Nothobranchius furzeri: one gene and its partner. The protein of the gene in region 2 purifies or fractionates together with the protein of the main gene of each other region. This does not show direct contact. Links are inferred from orthologs where the notes say so. Each region holds a gene or a part of one and is shown on either strand. Other genes may lie near its edges.

What was found.
Region 1: the proteins of snrpa1 (region 2) and sf3b5 purify together in Homo sapiens (affinity purification with mass spectrometry; 5 studies listed by BioGRID and IntAct, counting the BioPlex papers as one, with this or other methods). This does not show direct contact. The link is inferred for Nothobranchius furzeri from reciprocal best matches to the Homo sapiens genes SNRPA1 and SF3B5.

What each region holds. Positions count from the first base shown.
Region 1 is NC_091752.1:24,289,725-24,294,883, reverse strand, and holds sf3b5 (splicing factor 3B subunit 5), read right to left. Parts: upstream 3,213-5,159; 5' UTR 3,100-3,212; intron 1,571-3,099; 5' UTR 1,556-1,570; coding exon 1,295-1,555; 3' UTR 1,009-1,294; downstream 1-1,008. UniProt on the Homo sapiens protein: Component of the 17S U2 SnRNP complex of the spliceosome, a large ribonucleoprotein complex that removes introns from transcribed pre-mRNAs.
Region 2 is NC_091749.1:6,236,743-6,241,845, forward strand, and holds the start of snrpa1 (U2 small nuclear ribonucleoprotein A'), read right to left. Parts: upstream 3,335-5,103; 5' UTR 3,210-3,334; coding exon 3,128-3,209; intron 3,025-3,127; coding exon 2,877-3,024; intron 1-2,876. UniProt on the Homo sapiens protein: Involved in pre-mRNA splicing as component of the spliceosome. Associated with sn-RNP U2, where it contributes to the binding of stem loop IV of U2 snRNA.

The DNA of each region.
Region 1 (5,159 bases), on a different chromosome or scaffold from region 2:
AGTCAGGACTTTTAATTTCATGAGTTTGCTTTTCATAATAATTAGTTTGCTTCCATTTTACTTTTCAAGTCTAATTTATGATTTCATGACTCACTCGATGTAAATTTTAAAGTCAACTATGACATCACAATATGTTGTAATTGTCTTTACATACTATTATGTAGAATCACAAACCTGTGACTTTGATCTTATTTAAGGAATTTATACTGCTTTTCTTTTCTTTATCCTGATTCATATTTTTGGTAATAAAAACATACTTATGACTTAATTTCTGAACTTTTTTCTCAATGGCAGTAACAGACCTCCATACGTTGTGCTTGTAAATTGATTTTCTTATCAATGGATTTCATAAACTATTGATTAAAGTTGTGTTTAATAAGAGGGAGTTTAAGTTACCAAAGAAGGTGAATTGTTTAAAGCAGGATTTAGCGGTTTTTCATGCACACAGCTGTCACATTTGTGTTTCTGAGGCAATTTAATTTAAAAATTCTAGCTTTTTGTGTGTCAGCAGTTCCCAGTTTTGTCTTGAAAAAGCAGGTCGGCTGGTTTTGAAAGCAGTCTTTTGGCAATTTTTAATAACATCATAAACCTGTGTTCTGTTGTTTTTAACACCGTTATTTTTTTTCTTCAACCACCTTTTGGTGGACTTTTCTAAATTTCACCCACTGATTTTTCAGATAATTTTCTTCCGTGAAATTTCCTACTGCAAATAAGCAGTTTCAGCATTTGAACCACAGTGCATCAGTTATTGTTGTAGTTGAGTAAAAGCATTTTGCTACAACTATAATAAAATAAAGATTATCTGCATTAAATTCTCTTTTTTTTCTTAATATTGCAGAAAAGTATTGGGTGTAGCTGAAAAACACCAGCATTTCAGAGTAAAAGGCTTCAAAAGGCTACCTGCCACCTATGAATGTTTATTCAAATAAACCCAAATCACATTCAATCCAAATGATGACAAATAAAAGTGTTGTGAAAGAATAGATGAATAGCTGGCTGTAAAATAAATAAGATTGTAGAAAAAGGTCAAATTTTAATGAATAAGCAAAACTTATCATGGGCACATTGTAATCATCAATCTCTTCAATCTCTTCACAGATAATTGTGCATCACTTAGACACATTTACCGTTCTTGTAAACATTGAGATCTTGAAATAATTTGTTTTGCCTCAGTGCTGTCCATATGCAAACAAAACTACTATAAATGGATGATCCAATTATTTTTGATAGGGTCAAACAGGATTTAATGGTAGAAAAAAGAATTTCCAGGGACAAAAGCTCACTCTGGAGTTATTTAAGCATCATCGGGCTTGTCTGCTGGGGGCCCACATGGCTGAAGCATCTTCTCCATCAAATTGAAGCGAACGCGGGCCTTGCTCTCATTCTCAGCCACGGAGAAGTAGTTTAGCAGGTCAAAGTGTCCCATGTAGGAGCAATATGAGTCACGATGTTGGTTGACCAGCCATTCCCACTTGCTGGTATCAGCATGTCCTGTGCCGATGTACTTTGATTGAAGATGTTCCAGCTGACTGTGGATGTTGTATCGGTCCGTCATTTTCACTCAAAGACTCTGGATGGGGAAAGGATAGAAAAACATCACCCGTGATGTTCTTTAAAATCATTTATATAAAAAAATTCTACATTTTCTAGAATATTAGGCTGATTCATTAGACGTTGTTCTTGTACAATGTTGTTTGTAAAGGTCAATCTTGTTTGATTCACCAGGGAAAGAAGTCCTTTAAGTTTTAAAATAAACTTGGGGTTTCATCAGTGTCCAGATGAAGATGTACTGTTATTCTTAAAAAGATAATGTGTGCATGCTGTACGTAATTCATGCTGGGATGCAAAAAGCATCACTTGTTTTTACTACATTGTGTCAGAACTCCATACACACATTAGCCTGTATGATGTTGTATAAGGCACATACTGAGCAGGTAAAGCTTTTTAAAATGCTGCTTTCTAGGGATGAACAATATATCAGCATCAATATCTGTATCGGCCGATGTTGGTCAATTTTTAACATATCGGCTCGATAAATAAAACCAGGCCGATATTTTTTCCATCTCGTCTCCATTTGTTCGCCTGTTTCAGAGGGTGAGGGGGGTGATGTGTAATTGTTTAGTCATGTGAACAGTGAATGAAATAATCTCAGACCCATAAATGTGTGTGTTGCGTGTACATAATGTAAATTCAGCTTTAATGTCAGCATATCTGTACCGGCAAATATCAGTTATCAGCCATAACAGTGAGCTCAATATCAGATATCGGTATCAGCCCAAAAATGTCATATCGGTGCATCACTACTGCTTTTCTACATGTTTTAACTTTTAGAACAGCTAAAAAGTTTCAGACTTTTTAACATTGATTTCCAACAATGGTGGAAAGAAGAAAAAAAACCTCCAGCTCAGTCTCTTTTTAATTTGGGTCAGACAAACAAAATAAACGAGTATTTGCAGCTAATCGTAGCAGCAAAAGCTACTTCTTAACAGTATTGATACTATTTATTGACACAATCAGCAGATCGCATGCGCTTTTGATTTAGCAAAAGAAAAGACAACACAAACGCAACAACAAAACCTTAGAAGGTCCCAGGACTAAGTACTGATAACGCAACGTGTGGGTGACTACTTTAATCTGGATGTATGGTGACAACTAGGGAAAAAGACAGAATTAAAGCTTAAAAACTACCACTCCAACATTAAACATCCCAAAAAGACTATTATTTAAAGCAAAATACAAACGAACATTTCAAATATATTGGAAAGGCTAACGATGTTAGCAAAGTTATCTAATTCGTTCATGCAGTGTATTTTTCCACTGCATTCGAATCCTTAATCGCCGTTATTTATGTGAGTTTTATCCAAATGATCAACATTGACATATTAACAAACAAAATACAATTCCAAATATTCGGTCGTTGCCCTTTATTTACACATTTTCTTTGTTGGACAACGTTTGATCTTCCACTCTTTATGCTAACAGTAGCTTAGCTTAGCTAGTCGGTCTTCGTGTAATAAAAGTCTAAATTTAGGCTCCCCTGGAGGGCAAATAATAGCTTCAGCTTCACATCAATTGGTTTTAAAAGAACAAAACACTTACGTAATGTGTACAGAGATCAAGAACTAAAACAAAACAGGTAAATTAATTCTGAGTCGTTCAGGCACTGACAAACGACCACTGCCGGCGCGTTACCCTATGAAATGATCCGGGTAGGAACAAATGTCGTACTGTTCTGATTCCGCTCCATTGGTCAAAGTGTACTTCTTACTCACTCAAAGAAAGTTTTTTTTTTTTTTTTTTTTTAGAAAATCTGGGTACATTAAATACAGTTATTATTTTCTTTGGTTTATTTGTAGGTTAATTGAAAATAGGTTGTGTCTATGTTGCAATCTTTTCTTTTTTATGTTTTAAATTCGTGTGTAGCCTCTATCATCATTCCACACCATTCAAGGGAATACGTCCATTGTTTTTCTTATGCTTCTAAAAACAAATAGTACTACTTGGTCTTCTTCCAAATAAATAGACTGCAGTATTTATTGGCTTTTTCTAAGGATATAAATATGCAAGTGTCTGCAGCAATCATTAGAGTACCTGTGCAGTGAGATAAACTTTTCATCAAAACTGATGTATTCATGTTGTTTTAAAACATTTATCTTAAAACAAATAATCACAGTACAATTTTTCAAATTGCCACATCGAGACTAAATTGCTCAGAATTGCTTAGCACTGGGCTCTCCTGTGGCTGGTATAATGAAATTTTTTCTGTGGATAATGTGTTTGATGATGTTCTGCATTGAGCATGTTTGCTGCCTGTAGAGTTATGACCCTAATTTTCCATCTACCAGCTGTTGCTAATGGCAACCATGATTGGGACAGAAAAATATGAAAATATGGTTAGATTTGGGTTCAGAAATGTTTTGAAATATTTGTTAAAAATTACTCACCTATGATCTTGACTGCTTTTCCTCACTAGGGTCAAAGGGAGCAGTCTTTCCCCAGCAGTCATTAGCAAAGTACACCCTGGACAGGCCACAAGATATCACAGGGACACTGGGACAAACAAACTACCACGTTATGGTAGAGTCGCGTTGTTGTTATCCAACGTGGATGTTTTGTCTCTACAGATAGCACAAGCCTGGAGGAGCTTCTGCTGTGTGGTGGGGTTGCTAATGCTAATGGTCAGTGTTGGGAAAGTTACTTTTAAAAAGTAATTAGGTATAGTTACTGATCACGTCGTTGTCCAAAAAGTAACTAAAAGTAACTAATCACCAAGAAAAATAAACATTTTGTTACCTTTTTTTTCACTAAAGAATGCAAGAAAAATGGGTTCCCCTCTTGATTAAACTTACTTAATTTACTATAAATTACTACAATACTGAAATATAAATGACTAATGACTGGAACATAATAAAATGTATGTCAAAATGTTTTTTTTTTATCAAACTGAATAATTGAAACAGATGGGCACTTAACAGGAGGAACTACAAACAGGAACATTACATTAATCAAGACTATTAAAATGTCACTGTGTGATATTTAACAAGACCCCAATCAGCTCAAAATTATAATTGCAAATATAAACAACTGTAAAGGTTCCTGAGCCTTTAAATGGTCTCTCAGTATAGTGAAATTCCTGAAATAAAAGTAATTTTGCACAGCATTCTAATTTTTCCTGCTTCACATAATTGTGTGTTATTAGTAGCATTTCTGTTGCTGGTAATCTAGTAATGGTGAAATAAATAAACAAACAAATATCCTTTAAAATGACACTAGAAGAGGCACAAATCTGATGGAGGACTTAAATGTACTAACATGGGTAAGACCCAAACACAGAAGAGCTGAAGGTGGGTGGTAAAGACGCACAGGAAGTTCTAATAACACCTGAGCTCCATGATGTCTGAGACTGATGCATCAGTGTTACAGCAGGACTAAAGACATGATCAGAAACAGGTTACAGTTGGATGATCTAGGAAGGTAGAAGATCGTGATGTCTGAGTGGTGAACAGATGAGTGGACCTTCGGGACGTTCCGCTGTCACGCCAAGAAGGGCACGGCTGCAGCAGCGAATCTGCGGGTCTGCAGCCGTAGACTATTCATCACGTCTTCCTTGTTCTTCATGGGCCGTGATGCACTTGGATGAAAACATGCGCCTCTTTAGC
Region 2 (5,103 bases):
TTTTTTACCGGGGTTTAGCGCTACACTGGTTACCGTGACAACCCTACCTGATCGGTTTGCTTTGATCTATTTTGAAAATTCCGATCAAAACCGATAGGGGCGCTATCGGCCGATTACGATCAAATGCCGATCCATCGGTGCATCCCTAATATCGGCATCGGTTCAATAAAAAAAAAAACGGGCCGATATTAACAACCGATATTTTTTTCCATCTCGTCTCCATTTGTTTGCCTGTTTCAGAGGATGAGGGGGTGATGTGTGTTTGTTTAGTCATGTGAACAGTGAATGAAATCATCACATAACCGTAAATGAGTGGTGTGTGTAAATAATAACGTAAATTCAGTTTGAATCATTTTCATTCTATACAAAATCTGCTGATTTTAGAAGCATTAATGACAGTATATCGGTACCTGCAAATATAGATTATAGGCCATAATAGTGATCTTAATATCAGACATCGGTATCAGCCCAAAACTTTTATATCGGTGCATCGCTGAGCTGAGTCATCTGGAACACCAAGGAAGCCATGTCAGAATGCGCTCAGTTACACCATCCCACAGATCCGGGTCCAGAAACTGTCTCGCCTGGGACTCTCCACCCCCATCTGGATTAAGGACTTCCTGACAAACAGACCAAAGTCTGTCAGACTCGGCCCCCACCTCTCCAGCACCGGCGCTCCACAAGGATGTGTTCGGAGTCCCCTCCCGTTTACACATCCGACTGCTCCCCGACCCATCTCTCAAACACCATCATTAAGTTTGTGGATGACACCACTGTGGTTGGACTCATCTCAAGGGGGGATGAGTGGGACTACAGAGATGAGGTCAACAGACTGACTGTGTGGTGTTCAGGAAACAACCTCCAACTGAACACCACAAAAACTGAAGAACTTATCTTGGACTTCAGGAAGGGCAGGGCCGACCCGGCCTTACTTTACATTCACGGGGACTGTGTGGAGAGGGTGCACTCCGTGAGCTTTCTGGGCGTGCAGATCTCTGATGATCTCTCCTGGACTGCAAACACCACAGCGGTGGTAAAAACTTCATGAGAGTGCTCAGAAGGAACGACCTGGAGGAGAGGCTGCTGGTCACATTCTACAGAGCCACCACAAAGGGCATCCAAGCGTACGGCATCACAACATGGTATGCAGGGTGCTCAGCTGCAGACAGGAAAGTACTGCAGAGGGTCATCAGCACAGCCCAGAAGACCACTGGATGCTCTCTGCCCAGCCTGAAGCACATTGCCAACTCTCATTACCCCAGTAGAGCAGGAACATCGAGGACTACTCTCACCCCAGTAACCATCTGTTTGACCCGTTACCGTCAGGCTGATGGTGCAGGTCACATAAAACCAGGGATAGCTTCTTTCCCAGAGCTACCAGAGTAGCAAACGACCACAAAACCAGATGAGCCTGTAAACCCGAGCCACACGTTTACTCTTACTATTAGTGTTTACTCAATATGCTAAAATTCTGCTTAACCTGCACAGAACCTGACTGATGCTGCTACTCTTTCTATACATTTGTAAATATTACTGTTGATTTTACGTTTATTTTATTCCGTATTATTTTACAAATTGCACCAAAGGGAGTGGCACTCCAATGTCGCTGTACAATAACAATAAAGTCTCTTCTATTCCCTAATACTTTTTTCTGGTCAGAATCGGCTCCTGTATGCTACTAGCCTTGTGTTTAAAACAAACCCAGTAAATGGATCGGGGCACCAGAAGATTTAAGGACGCTGGAGCAGAAACAGGTGATGAGGTAATTTCATAAAACCAACACTTCTGCTGCACTGAAGAGTCAGAGCAGCGTTTTTACCTTTAGCAGTGGTTTATTAAAGTCTTCAAGCAACCAGCCGAGATGACGCCGCAGCTCTTTCTACACATTTAATCAGACCACATCGATAACTTGTTAAGGATGACTGCACTATTCTGGAGTATTTTCACATACTTTCATGTTTGGTTTTCTGTGAATTACTCTCATATGACGATCCCTGATAACTTAATCATTTTGTCAGGGCTGGCTTTTCACTGAGCAGAGGGACCGTCTAAACCTCGTGGTAAAAAATTATTTTCATTTTGCAGAAACTCAAACTGATATTTCATTTTAAATATTTATTCCAAAAGATTACTTTAGCAGCAAAAAGTATGCAAATGTTGGAGCGGGTGACTACAGACCCCACTGATGCAGAGTCGTACCGTTCTACACGTCTTCCTGACAGCAGCTGCATCACACCGACGTCGTCTCAACTAAACGCAGATTACGCCAATGTTTTAATCTACAGCACATTGAAGAGTGACCAGCAAAAGGTCAGGCGGCCGTGACGCTGCTGCTTGCGTCTGACTCCTAATTAGTCTAGCAACATAAATGTCAAATTATTTAGTTCAATATAAGGAAGCTAAAGTGGTTTTTAAAAACGTGGCCTCCAGAATGCTCTTCTGAGTAATGGATGCCAGAGGTCTGACGGACATTTCAGCTGTCATCCCACTGTCTCTTTACTAGATCACAAATGTAACGGGTGTGGGACTCTAGTTGTGCCTCAGACTTATATATAAAGTGTTATTTATGAAGCAGGGGCAAATGATTGTGTTGAGGGGCATCAACACCCGGTTAAACAAATCTTGGAAAACCTGCATCCTAGTAAAACATCTGTTTAAATAAACAGTGTGTGTTCTTTACTGAAGGTAGTTAACTAAGGAGTAGCACAAGATGGCCAGTACGTTACTTAAAATACATTTTCTACATTTCCGATAATTACTGATATGGATCAACATGAAGTGTTCCCAGATCCTACTCGTCTCCATCATCCAGACCCTACCTGTGCAGCTCAGGGGCAGACCTGGACCATGGTGACACACAGAGCAGTGGGACTTACCAGACCCTGTTGTTGTTCATCAGCAGCGTCTTCAGCCTCTTTAGCAAAGGGAAGCCGTCCAGTTTTCTCACTTCATTATCAGAGAAATCTACAGTGTCAAACTGGTCCAGAGTAGCTCCGAGGTTTTCCACCACTGGGATCTTATAACCTAAAGATAAAGCAGAGCTAACACTGGTTAGCACACAAACACACACACACACACACACAACACTAACCTAGTCAGTTAGCCGTGGGTAAAGGCCCGAGTTTACCTCGTAAATCCAGCTCTCTGTCTCTCACAGGGTTGGTGTACTGAGCAGCCTGCTCAATCAGCTCCGCAGACAGCTTCACCATGTCGGACACGAACTTGGGCTTTTGTAACCTTTCTACAGCAAACTAAACAGTTTCACAGAGAGGTAAACGCTAACGTATTCCACGCTGCCGCCAGAACAAGAGCTTCTTCTACTTCCGGTTTGTCCGAGGACGAGTCAGTGGTAAATAGTGGTGCTACAGCGCCCCACCTGGAGTGGAGCTGGATCACTCATCAGTGCATAGGTAGGTGTTGAGTATATGGGATTAGATTTGTGCCAATAAGATGTTAAATTTAGTATATTTCCCAATAAAAAGTCCCTGTTAAGGAGCTGCAGCTCGTCTCCCTACTGGAGTTTCACAGTTTGGTAAAACTTCTCCAAGTTGGCAGACTGAGAAAATGCTGAAAAAAATCTAAGCTTTTGCTGCATTTATTTAAAGGAAAAGGTAACAGGGCTAAGTTGTTTAAATATGTGTGAATAGCCTAGCAGCAAATGAATAAAGCAGCAACCTGTAATTCCATGCTGTAGTTCTTTTTTAAACAGTTTTGTTTACCTGTTTTCCCGCTACATTTCGTTTGCAGCTGCAAACTTCCTCAGGCTGACGCTGATGGTGGCGTCACTTCCTTCTCTGTTTATCCGTGAGCAGCAGAGGATGTTGTCGCCCTCTGCTGCCCGCTCTCCCCTCTCCGACGATGCAGTCCCATGCGCGGTCCAACGTGTAAACTCCATCGTCCCTGTTCATGGTCCCACATCCACGTCACCTTATCTCGGTAGCTTCTTTTATTCATCTTTTGTATTTTTGTTGTTCGGTGTTTATGATCCTTGTGTTGTCCCAGTCCATTATATGGTTTTCTCTTGTGCAGTGATCTGTTACGGCTGACTTCTTTATTGTGATTTCTGCTTCTTCTTTTGCTGCTCTTGTGTGTTTTCGACTTGCCTCTTTCTCGCACTCCTTTCTATGTTCTATTGTTCGTGTGTTGAGTTGGCGTCCGGTTTCTCCTATGTATGTTTTATTGCAGAGTTTGCATGGGATTTTGTAAATGACTCCACATTTAAGTCCAGCTAGTATTTTGTCTTTTGGGTGTACTAGTCTGTTTCTAACTGTTGTGTATGGTTTTGTTGGTGTGTTTATGTTGTGTTTTTTCATTGTTGCTCTTATTTTTTCTGTTATGCCTTTAATGTATGGTAGGGTTATCACTGGTTTTGGTTCTTGGCTTTCTGGGTTGCTGGTTCTTTGCTTTGGTTGTTTTTTTCTTTCTGTTGTTGTTTGTTGTTTTCCTTTGTTTATTACCCATGTCGGGTATCCGCAGGTCTTTAAAGCATGTTGTATGTGTTTGTCCTCTTGTTTACGGTCTCTTTCTTCTGTTATTATGTTTGCTCGGTGATATAATGTTCTGATTACTGACATTTTGTATATGGTGGGGTGTTCTGATGTCCATAATAGATATTGGTCTGTGTGTGTTGGTTTCCTATATGTGTTAATGTTTAGGGTCCCTTACTCCCGTCCTCTGCTGCCCACGGATAAACGGAGAAGGAAGTGACGTCACCATCAGCGTCAGCCTGAGGAAGTTTGCAGCCACAAATGAAACGTAGCGGGAAAACAGGTCAACAAAACTGCTCTGTATTTTAAAAAAGAACTACAGCATGGACTTAGAGATACGACACAGCAAGAACACACCTAAGATGAGCAACCTGTAACCCCATAGCTTATGGCAGGCCCTTTTAACATCCATCCATCCATCCATCCATCCATCCGTCCATCCATCCATCCATCCATCCATCCATCCATCCATCCATCCGTCCGTCCGTCCGTCCGTCCGTCCGTCCGTCCGTCCATCCGTCCGTCCATCCATCCATTTTCATCCGCTTATCCGGAGTCAGGTCGCAGGGGCAGTAGCATAACCCCTTGTTTCCACCGGAGCCATCAGCAGCACGTT